3 linked regions of the Callithrix jacchus genome follow. Each later gene encodes a partner of the first gene's protein in a complex. Links are inferred from orthologs where the notes say so. Each region holds a gene or a part of one and is shown in the gene's direction. Other genes may lie near its edges. The genes, in order: FGF23, FGFR3 and FGFR4.

The links.
Region 2: the proteins of FGF23 (region 1) and FGFR3 are in contact, whole or in part, in a cryo-EM structure (PDB 7YSU), measured with the Homo sapiens proteins. The link is inferred for Callithrix jacchus from reciprocal best matches to the Homo sapiens genes FGF23 and FGFR3. Residues at the interface, in NP_065689.1 of Homo sapiens: Ser29, Leu32, Gly33, Ser34, Trp36, Tyr43, Ala45, Ala47, Arg48, Asn49, Ser50, His52, Ile75, Arg76, Ser77, Glu78, Asp79, Ala80, Gly81, Val83, Val84, His117, Gln118, Thr119, Asn122, Gly123, Tyr124, Asp125, Leu158, Ser159; in NP_000133.1 of Homo sapiens: Glu157, Arg158, Asp160, Lys161, Leu163, Leu164, Ala165, Val166, Pro167, Arg223, Asp244, Leu246, Glu247, Arg248, Ser249, Pro250, Val277, Tyr278, Ser279, Asp280, Ala281, Gln282, Pro283, His284, Ala312, Gly313, Ala314, Thr316, Thr317, Asp318.
Region 3: the proteins of FGF23 (region 1) and FGFR4 are in contact, whole or in part, in a cryo-EM structure (PDB 7YSW), measured with the Homo sapiens proteins. The link is inferred for Callithrix jacchus from reciprocal best matches to the Homo sapiens genes FGF23 and FGFR4. Residues at the interface, in NP_065689.1 of Homo sapiens: Leu32, Gly33, Ser35, Trp36, Gly37, Tyr43, Ala45, Thr46, Ala47, Arg48, Asn49, Ser50, Ile75, Arg76, Ser77, Glu78, Asp79, Ala80, Gly81, Val83, Val84, Tyr93, His117, Gln118, Thr119, Asn122, Gly123, Tyr124, Asp125, Leu158; in NP_001341913.1 of Homo sapiens: Glu156, Lys157, Lys158, Leu159, His160, Ala161, Val162, Pro163, Asn166, Asp240, Leu242, Glu243, Arg244, Ser245, Pro246, Lys272, Val273, Tyr274, Ser275, Asp276, Ala277, Gln278, Pro279, His280, Ala308, Asp309, Ile310, Ser312, Gly336, Asn337.

What each region holds. Positions count from the first base shown.
Region 1 is NC_133510.1:17,759,740-17,763,383, reverse strand, and holds part of FGF23 (fibroblast growth factor 23), read left to right. Parts: intron 1-529; coding exon 530-633; intron 634-1,979; coding exon 1,980-2,420; 3' UTR 2,421-3,644. UniProt on the Homo sapiens protein: Regulator of phosphate homeostasis. Inhibits renal tubular phosphate transport by reducing SLC34A1 levels. Up-regulates EGR1 expression in the presence of KL. Acts directly on the parathyroid to decrease PTH secretion. Regulator of vitamin-D metabolism.
Region 2 is NC_133504.1:191,347,149-191,350,188, reverse strand, and holds part of FGFR3 (fibroblast growth factor receptor 3), read left to right. Parts: intron 1-284; coding exon of another isoform or gene 285-429; intron 430-917; coding exon 918-1,108; intron 1,109-1,297; coding exon 1,298-1,551; intron 1,552-1,931; coding exon 1,932-2,053; intron 2,054-2,131; coding exon 2,132-2,242; intron 2,243-2,325; coding exon 2,326-2,516; intron 2,517-2,622; coding exon 2,623-2,745; intron 2,746-2,821; coding exon 2,822-2,892; intron 2,893-3,040.
Region 3 is NC_133503.1:69,055,498-69,059,241, reverse strand, and holds the start of FGFR4 (fibroblast growth factor receptor 4), read left to right. Parts: upstream 1-1,401; 5' UTR 1,402-1,476; intron 1,477-1,864; 5' UTR 1,865-2,044; exon of another isoform or gene 2,045-2,082; intron 2,083-3,671; 5' UTR 3,672-3,724; coding exon 3,725-3,744. UniProt on the Homo sapiens protein: Tyrosine-protein kinase that acts as a cell-surface receptor for fibroblast growth factors and plays a role in the regulation of cell proliferation, differentiation and migration, and in regulation of lipid metabolism, bile acid biosynthesis, glucose uptake, vitamin D metabolism and phosphate homeostasis.

The sequences.
Region 1 (3,644 bases):
TTTAGTACAGACAGGGTTTCAACATGTTAGTCAGGCTGGTCTCGAACTCCTGACCTCATGATCCGCCCACCTCAGCTTCCCAAAGTGCTGGGATTACAGGTGTGAGCCACTGCACCTGGCCTATCTCAGCATAGATTTAAAAATCACAAAGTAGAAGGCATGAAACAATGTAACTATCAGCACAAACATTCAAAGGTATTAGCAAGTCAAAGGAGAAAATAAAGACAGTCCAGGTAGAGAGAGAGAAACATGTGTTCAGCACTTGTAGACGAATGTCAGGAGTTCAGAGTGCCCCATACAGGCAACAAGATGAAGCAGGAGGTGAATGACTACACATGTGCTGGGGTTAAGAGAGGATGTCAGAAGAAAGGAAGACTATGTAGAAATGAGGCTGAATTTAAGGGTGTTGAAGTCATCACCACCCTTAAAATCAATCCAGGAGGTTTCATGAAGGTGGGTTTTCAGGAGGTACTTGAAGGTGGAAATTGGATGTGCTATGAATCTTTGTCCCGCATGGTTTTCTCCGTAGGTGCCCTGCTGATCAGATCAGAGGATGCTGGCTTTGTGGTGATTACAGGTGTGATGAGCAGAAGATACCTCTGCATGGATTTCAGAGGCAACATTTTTGGATCAGTGAGTTTCTTTTTGTGTTGGTTGCCATTTGCAAAGAATTATCTAATTTTTTGACAGGACATAGACTTTTCTAGCTTAACAATTCCATTTGCAGTGTACCCTGGTGACCCGTTTCCGCTGAGTACTTCATGCAGTCTAAGTACTGAATGCTCAGGTTTAATAGCTGGGGTTTGAACTTAGGCAGTCAGGCTCTAGATCCCAGGCTCTCAGCTCCGAGTCTGCACTGCCCATTCACAACCATTCTTGGATCTAGCACAGGCACTGGGATGCAGTCATAGGTCCTCAAGTCATGTCAATTCACATTGTAAAGTACATTAGAAAGAGTGAAAAGCCATTGGTGTCCTCTTGATTCTGGGACTAGCTGTGACTTTAGCTAAATCTCCTCACTCCAAACTTCAGCATTTTCACTTGGAAAAAGTGGAGTGGAATAGACCACATGACCTGTGGAGCTCCCTCCAGTTGAAGATCTTTAATGAATTACCCCTGCCCCAATTGTGATAGCTATTCACTGGGATTGGTGAGCAAAGGATTTCCCAAACTAAAGGCCACTGGCTTCTTTTTGAGGATTTTGAGGTAGTAAAATAGTAGGACTGCTTCTCTCAGGAGTCTCTTGCTACCAGTCATACCCACCAGAAACTCCGCAGGAACAGAGGCTTCTGTTTTGCTTTCTGCTGCATCCCAGCCCCTACAGCCGTGTCTGGCTAGAGTAGGGTCAAAAAAAATCTGTTGAACAACTATTGAAATACAGGTAACTAACTAAAATCTGTTGAACCCGTCTAGGCGTGTAGATAGTCCCGGTCTGTAAACTGCTTACTATGCGGAGTTTGGGGATTATAAGAAATAACATGCAAAGGCCTTGGTGGGGGCACTCAGTAAAACCCAGGGCTAGTGGTAGGGGATTCAAACTCAGCTCCTCTGTCGGCAGAGTTCATGTCTCCAATCCCTATACCGTATCATCTCTCTGACGTCAATGTCCTCATTCATGTTTGACCTTCCTTTCTCCAGTAAGGAGACAAAGCCAAGACAACTTTCAGCCAGCAGAGGCTTGAAAAAGGTAGAGGGCGGGACGGACGAGGTGGTGCCTACTCCAGGAAAACCACAGGCCAGGCCAGCCCGGGCCTCCAGGCAGTGGGCGCAGACCCCAGTGGTCTCTCAAGTGGGGAGCCATCCTGCTTGGCATAGTCAAAACCACCTTACCCTAGCAGGGAACCATGGAATGAAGGCCCAACGCCCCAGGCACTGCAGGGCTTCAGGCTGGCGGGCAGGAGCACGTGGCCCCAGAAGGAGCTGGGGGATGGGGGGCCCCCGCCGGCCCATCTTCACGAGGTTCACTCTTGCCGTTCCAGCACTATTTCAACCCGGAGAACTGCAGGTTCCGACCCCAGAGGCTGGAGAACGGGTACGACGTCTACCAGTCTCCTCAGCATCACTTCCTGGTCAGTCTGGGCCGGGCGAAGAGGGCCTTCCTGCCAGGCATGAACCCACCCCCGTACTCCCAGTTCCTGTCCCGGAGGAACGAGATCCCCCTCATTCACTTCAACACCCCCAAACCGCGGCGGCACACCCGGAGCGCCGAGGACGACCCGGAGCTAGACCCCCTGAACGTGCTGAAGTCCCGGGTCCGGATGACCCCGGCCCCGGCCTCCTGCTCGCAGGAGCTCCTGAGCGCCGAGGACAACAGCCCGGTGGGCAGCGACCCCTTAGGGATGGTCCGGGGTGGTCGGGTGAACAGCCACGCTGAGGGAACAGGCCCAGAAGGCTGCAGCCCCTTCCCCAAGCTCATCTAGGCCGCTGGAAGGGCACCCTCTTTAACCCATCCTTCAGCAAACGCAGCTCTTCCCAAGGACCAGCTCCCTTGCCGTTTCGAGGCTGGGAAAGGTGACGGGGGTCAGGTATGGAATTGGCGGCTTCTCTGGGGCCCCTTCCCCAGGAGGTCCTATGAGAATCGACCTTTGACGCTCAAGTCATGGGGTTTCACCGCCTTCCTCACTCCACATAGAGCATCTTTCTGAATAGGAAACCCCAACAGGTAAACCAGAAATTTCTCCTTCCTAGAGGTAGAGAAAAAGGGTCTCTCCCCGACATATTTCTCTTCCTTGGGCCTCTCTTCTTTATCACCTTTAAGCATTAAAAAAAAAAAAAAAAAAAAAAAAAAAAAAAGCAGTGGGTTACTGAGCTCACAACTTTGAAGGTGTAGGGAAGAGGAGCTCCGGAGATCCCAGAAGCCTCCCCACTGCCCTGTGTGTTTTTTATGTTACATGCCGCGATCCCACTGGCATTTGAGTGTGCAGACCTTGACATTGACAGCTGAATGGGGCAAGTTGATGAAAACTACTTCCAAGCCTCCATTCCTCCTTGAACATCTCTGGAGAAGAGCTGTCAAAACACCACTGGCAGGCTGGTGAAAACTTGACGACTAGACTTGATGCTTGCTGAACTGAGGCATGAATCATAATAGAAAACACAGCCTCCCCGCAGGGTGGGCACCCTGTGTCTCGCTGTCTCCCTCTCTGCAGCCACAGGCAGAGGGCCCAGAACGGCCCCACTCTGTTCCCAAGTGGCTCATGATACAGCCTCACCTCTTAGCCCCATCTCCGGTTTTTGAAAATTTGGTCTTAGGAATCGCTTTTATATTGGCTCATGAAAATCTACCCTGCTAGATTCCGTATTTTCAAAATGGAAATAAATTCCAACTCTCCTAAGAGGCATTTAATTAAGGCTGTACTTCCAGGTTGAGTAGTAATCCATTCCGAACAAACAATAACAAGGTGACCGAGAAGGGGGCCTTGAGACATGGGGACCGCTCTGGGTTAGGTTTTCTGTGGACTGAAAAATCATCTCCTTTTCTCTAAGTGAAGTGGCATCAAGGACTCAAGGGGAAAGAAATCCAATAACCAGGGGACATGTTACAGAAGTTACCAAAAGGCAACCACATGGTCGGGATCGTGGCTGTGGTCTCTAGGTCTCTGCGGCAGCACTGGCTCTCGGGACAGTGAAAACACTCCTAGGCT
Region 2 (3,040 bases), on another chromosome or scaffold:
GTCCGTCTCCTCCACCCGCACCCGCCCGGCCCTGCGCTTACCCGCATGCTGCCTGCCTGCCCGCCTGTCGCTCACCTGGGACAGAGGACTCGCCGGTGGAGGGGCCTGGCTTCGGACTCGGGTGCCGGTGACCCGGCGGAGGGCCGCACGGGGCGGCCGACTCGGCCTCGAGGAGTTGGTGGTGGCGGCGTTCTCCTTGCAGTGGCTGGATGCTGCCGTGTGGACTCTGCGGTGCCTGCAGGCCGGTGCTGGCTCTCTCCTATCGCTCTGCTCTCTCTTTGTAGACGGCGGGGGCTAATACCACCGACAAGGAGCTAGAGGTTCTGTCCTTGCAGAACGTCACCTTCGAAGACGCCGGGGAGTACACCTGCCTGGCGGGCAATTCTATTGGCTTTTCCCATCACTCTGCGTGGCTGGTGGTGCTGCCAGGTACCGGCTTCTGCGGCTGCTGCCCCGCACTGTCGGGGACGCTGGCTTGGGACACGCCAGAGCCTCCAGGACGGAAGGGAACCCTGTGGCTTATGGCCGCCCCACTCCTCGATCCCTCACACCTGGCCCTGTGCCCAGTGTGAGGACAAAGTTGGCCCAGCCAGGCCCAGACCTGGTCCTAGAGGGGCCCCATCAGCCCCTTTGAGCCCCCTTCCCATCCGGGTCCCCAAAGGCCCCTCCTGTGGCTCTGGTGTCTCCTGGGTGCCTGGTGGCGGTGTGGGGCTGGCTGGCTCTGCTGGGCACCTCCTCTCCAGGGTCTGGCCCTCCTGACTCATCGGTGTTTCTGACCACAGGACCCCCCCCAGACAACGGGGATGCTGGGGTTCTGAGCCCCCTCCCGCTCCCAGTGCTGCCTGTGGCTCTGGGCCAGGGGCACCCATGGGGCTCGGGGGGGGCCAGGCCAGGCCCCAACGCGTGTGTCTTTGCAGCTGAGGAGGAGCTGGCGGAGGCCGACGAGGCGGGCAGTGTGTACGCAGGCATCCTCAGCTATGGGGTGGGCTTCTTCCTGTTCATCCTGGTGGTGGCAGCCGTGACGCTCTGCCGCCTGCGCAGTCCCCCCAAGAAAGGCCTGGGCTCCCCCACCGTCCACAAGATCTCCCGCTTCCCGCTCAAGCGACAGGTAACAGAAAGTAGATACCAGGTTCTGAGCTGCCTGCCCGCCTGGCCTCTGGAGCCCCCTTGGCCTCTGTTGGCCTTGGGCTGTGCAGCACCCTCTGCAGCCAGGAGGGCTCACCTCCCCTTGTCTCTGGTCACCACGTAGAGCCCAGGGTACTCTGGGGCACAAAACGTTCTAATGGTCTTTGTTCAGCGCTGGTGGAAGTCAGAGCGCCCCCCTTCCAGCCCACAGCGACCCCCGGCTGCACCCCCACGCCCTGTCCTCCACGCGGCGCCAACCTGCCCCTGCCGACCCAAGCAGGTGTCCCTGGAGTCCAACGCGTCCATGAGCTCCAACACGCCGCTGGTGCGGATCGCAAGGCTGTCCTCGGGGGAGGGCCCAGCGCTGGCCAACGTCTCTGAGCTTGAGCTGCCCGCCGACCCCAAATGGGAGCTGTCCCGGGCCCGGTCAGTGGCGCTGAGGGCCAGCGTGGGCTGTAGGGGGCTCAGTGGTGGGGGTGAAACACCAGGCAGAGGACCCGCCGGGTTCGGGGCCATCAAGGACGTGGAGGATGTTGGAGCTGTTCCTCTCTCTGGAGATGCTCCTGGGAGGGGTTCATGGCAGGGACTGCCCCTCTCAAGGTGCCCTGTCTGGAGAGGCAGCAGGGGCAGAAGGCCGGTGGGTGACAGTCTTCATCCTCATGAGCAGGCTGCAGGATGAGCATGGAGGGCTTCCTGGAAGTGGGGGCTCTGGGCCTTAAGGGCTGGGCCCGGCTGGGGTGGGGATTGTGGCAGGCTGCGAGTGGGCGAGCTTGTATGCTCATGGGTCTCTCTGCCTCTGCTGCCAGGCTGACCCTGGGCAAGCCCCTCGGGGAGGGCTGCTTTGGCCAGGTGGTCATGGCGGAGGCCATCGGCATCGACAAGGACCGGGCTGCCAAACCCGTCACTGTGGCTGTGAAGATGCTGAAAGGTGAGGAGAGGGCGGCCAGGGGTGCAGGGCAGGGCTGGGGGCGCCACCACCTGACAAAGAGTCTCCCTCCTTGCCCAGACGATGCCACTGACAAGGACCTGTCGGACTTGGTGTCGGAGATGGAGATGATGAAGATGATTGGGAAGCACAAGAACATCATCAACCTGCTGGGCGCCTGCACGCAGGGCGGTAGGTGGGGCGCTGGCGGCTGCGGCGCAGGTCGGGCGGCCCTCCTGGGCCTGGCAGCCCCTCTGAGGAGCCCGTGCCCCCAGGGCCCCTGTACGTGCTGGTGGAGTACGCCGCCAAGGGCAACCTGCGGGAGTTCCTGCGGGCGCGGCGGCCCCCCGGCCTCGACTACGCCTTTGACACCTGCAAGCCGCCCGAGGAGCAACTCACCTTCAAGGACCTGGTGTCTTGTGCCTACCAGGTGGCCCGGGGCATGGAGTACCTGGCCTCCCAGAAGGTGAGCAGGGCAGCAGGTGTGGGTGGAGTGGGCACGGACGGCTCTGCCATCCTGGGAGCAATGGGAGAGGCGTCGAGGCTTCAGCCCTGCCCCCACCCCTTCCCAGTGCATCCACAGGGACCTGGCCGCCCGCAATGTGCTGGTGACCGAGGACAACGTGATGAAGATCGCCGACTTTGGACTGGCCCGAGACGTGCACAACCTCGACTACTACAAGAAGACCACCAACGTGAGCCTGGCCTGTGGGGTGGGGCGGGGCGTGCTGGGGGCGCCTCGTGCCAACACTGCCTTCCCACCTCTTCCAGGGCCGGCTGCCCGTGAAGTGGATGGCACCTGAGGCCCTGTTTGACCGCGTCTACACCCACCAGAGTGACGTGTATGTGTCCTGCGGACCCCGGCCTCGGGTGGAGGCGGTAACTGGGCAGAACTGGGACCCAGCTTCAGCCCATACCTGTGCCCTGGGGCTCTTGGGCCTGGTCTCTTACCCCTCCGGGGGCAGCAGCGCAGCCCTGGCCTATTCCCCT
Region 3 (3,744 bases), on another chromosome or scaffold:
ACCCAGGCTGAAGTGCAGTGGTGCGATCGAGGCTCACTACTGCCTCAACCTCCAGGGCTCAAGCAATCCTCCAGCCTCAGCCTCCCGCGTAGCGGGGACCACAGGTGCCCCTATCCCACTTCCTTCCTTCTCAAGATGCCTTAAGAGAAGCATAGGGCTTGAGATTCAGGTGAGAAATGGGCAGAGATCAGAGGCTGCCTGGCTCCAAATTTAGTCCCAGTCTAGATGCTCAGGAGAGAAGTCAGCCGGGTAGGCATGGAACTAACTGGGAGCACCTACTGTATGCCAGACACTGGAACTATACTGGTGAGGTCTGCAGGCACAGTTCCTCTATTGAAAAATAGAGACAGGGCAACTATGTCACCAGGGCTGGTCTCAAACTCCTGAATTCAAGGGATCCTCCTACCTGAGCCTCCTAGTAGCTAGCACTACAGGCACCCGTCATGTGCCCAACCATTCCACAGCTATTTACATAATTCACTGTTCAGTTACAATTCTTGCAAGTGATGAAGAAATAACAGGTCCTAAATAATTACAGCTAATATTACAAAGCAAGCAGAGCATGCCAGGCTTACACATACTGCTGACATGTCACTTTTTTCAATAACCTCTTGAAGGTGATCCTATCGTTTGCCTGTTTTACTGAAAAGACAGTGAAGACCAAGGCCTTGTGTGATGGTGCTGAGATTTGAGCCTATGATGTCCAGCCCTGCAATCTGTGCTGTGAACCACTTCACTCTGTTTTCTTTCTCCATCCTCACAGTGGAGAAGTCATCTCAGGGGAGCCTGCAAGTTCAGAGGGCTTCCTGGAGGAAGTGAACTGAGAATAATATGAAATTAACCATACCAGGAAGAGGAAATGGTACGTGAAACTGCACAGGGGTTGTAAAGTAGGAGCCAGGAGACTTGGGTCATGGCAATAATCTATGTATAAAGAGCTATGGGAAGCTATAGGAAAAGTTAAGGGAGTGGTTGACACAAATCAGATTTGTGTTCTAAGTATCACACCGAAGGTTGCGCAGAAGACGGGGAAGCCTGGCATTCCCTGAGGGATGAAGAGCAAGGAGCAGAGCTGGGTAGTGGACTAGAATTTGGAAGCCTGGCCTGGGGCCTGGGTAGGGCAAAAGAGGCGGAGCCTGAATGGAGCGTTTGTAGGGGGTGTGCATAGGCTGGGGCGGGGTCCCGGGAGTGGGCTGACCGGGTCGGGGGCGGGGCTCTGGGCCACCCCTGGCGGCGCCTCGCTCCGGCTCGAGCTGATCCAGGCGGGACGGGCCCGATGGGGGCGTGGCAGGAGGTGGGCGGGGAACCAGGGGCGGGCCCGAGGGGCGGGGCAGGAGGTGGGCCGCCCGCGGCCACGCCGCCGTCGCGGGTACATTCCTGGATCCTGGCGGAGGAGCGCTCAGGCTGTCTGCGGACCCTGCCGGGTGCAGGGGTCGCGGCGGGCTGAAGCTAGGAGTGAGGCGGCGGAGGAGCCAGGTAAGCTGGACCCTTTGCCGGGCGTGGAGTCACGCTGCCTCGAGGTGAGCCGGAACCCTTGCGAGCCCGGGCTGCGCTCCCAGCCGCCAGGGGGCGAGCGGCGGCAGGGCTGCGGGGACTGCCCCTCCCGGCGCTGGGGACCTGGGAGTCCGCCGGGCGGCAGGAGGTGGAGGGGGCGGTAAATCAGTAACCCGCAGCGCACACAGGGCCTTTTGTCCCGTTCTGTCCAAAGAGCACCGAGGCCGCGGAGCTGGTTACTCATTGCCCACCGAGGCGGGGGCGGGCAGGCCCTGTGCAGCTACCCTCGGGATCCGCTGATTTGCACCTCCCCCAAGGCTGACCCGGCAGGGGTAGGGGAAGACGAGCGCGCTTGTCCCTCGGCCGCTAGGTGTCTTCGAGCCCGCGCAGAGATGAGGGAGCCAAGGCCCCGAAAGCTTCAGTTACTTACTGCCCGGGAGCCTCCAGCGCATGTGCAGGAGGCTGGATGAGAAGCCAGAACTGTCTGATGCCTAAGGCTGGCCCTCCGTTCCCACGTGCCGGGTGTTCGGTCAGCGGTCAGCAGCCACGGGTGACTCGACTAAGAACTCGGACGTCAGGGCAGCCTGGGTGGGAATACAACTCCTGGGCCTCACCACCCACTCCCAACCCAAGCTGTGTACCCAAAGAGCTGCCCTCCCTGCCAAGCCAAGCTTTGTAGGGAGTTTTACCAAGGAGCTGATTGGATGGATTTGGGAGTTGAGGTGGGCTCAGAGACAGAAGTATCTTGAGGCAGGTAGAGAAGAGGAATGAGGGGCACAGAGGGATGGGCAAGAGAGCACATGTGCCCAGTTTGGAAAGCCAGTGGTTTCAGGGCTCCTGAAGGGGCAGACCATGTGACTAAAGAGATAGGCAGTGGTAGAGAGGGAAGCTTAGGATGTTGAGCTGGATCCTGCTGGGAACAGGTAGCCATTAAGGGCTTGCAATCTGGGGGCACAACATGGCAGACTTGAAGTTTTTTAAAACCCTGCTGGAAGATGAAGGTTGAAGAGCCCCGGGAGAGGATGTTTCCAAAGGCCCATGCAAGAGATGACCATGACCTGCCCTGAGTAGGGGCAGGGGAAGCCAGATGGACTGGATGTGGGGTGGCAGTGACCAAGGAGAAGGAGGTGTAATGGGCTTCCCACACAGGGTAAATCCAGAGAGGCTGGTGCCACCTGTAGCCCCCTAGGACTACAGTGGTCACCATATTCCTTTGTCTCAGCTGAGACTCAGTTCTGAGCATTCCATTTTGGGGAACAAAAGTGTCCTTCGTAGCATCTGGAAAAGGATAGCCGGCTGGGGTATGTGTACATCACAGCCTGACAGGAACAGCGCCCGAACCAGAGGCGACTGGCTGAGGGCAGAGCCAGGGCAATAGGTGAACAGTTCTAGAGCCAGGCATAGGGAGGAGAACATTCCAACACTCTGTGTGCCCAGTTCCAACACACATTATCTTATGTCTTTTATCCTCAAAGCATTCCTATGAGGATAGTAGCCCAGAGAGGGATGGAGGCAAGGAGTTACAAGTTGGTAAGAGTCAGGATTTGAACTTGGCTCCAGTGGATGGATAATTAGGGTCTATATTCTTTACAAAACCATGCATGCCTCAGATGGAGTTGGGGCATAACAAGCAGGGGTATCCAGGGATGTGGTCCTGCTTGCCACAGAAGGCACTGCCTTGTGAGCACCCAGCCCTGGAAATGTCAGTAATGCTGTAAGGAGCAGGGATCAGATCAGATAACATCCAGATGCTGAAGTTTGGCATTGTATTATTTTTCACTTTCTTTTTTGGCTCTTTGGCCATCAGTTCATTTATTCAGCAAGAAATAAAGTATGTGTGCCAAGAGCATGCAGAAGATAAGTCTCCATTCTCTACTTCCCTCTGAGAAAAGAATCCCAAAACTGCTTTCTGTGAACATGTGCCAGGGTCCCAGCAGGACTCAAGGAGAGCAGGAAGCCCAGCCCAGCCCGCTTGCACAACCTACTGTGGGGAGGCCTTGGGCTCTGGCCACAGCAGAGCTGGTTCCAGTCTGCACTGCCACAGCCTGGCCCGGGACTTGGACACATCTGCTGACCACTTCCTGTCTTGGTTTCCTCGTCTGCAAAATAAAGGAAAAGCACCCGCAAAGGTGCACGTGTAGCAGCAGCTCTTTTCCCTCCCTCCCTCCCTGTTTTAGGAAGGCAGTTGTTGGGAAGTCCAGCCTGGGTCCCTGAGAGCTGTGGGAAGGAGATGCAGCTGCTGTTGGCCCT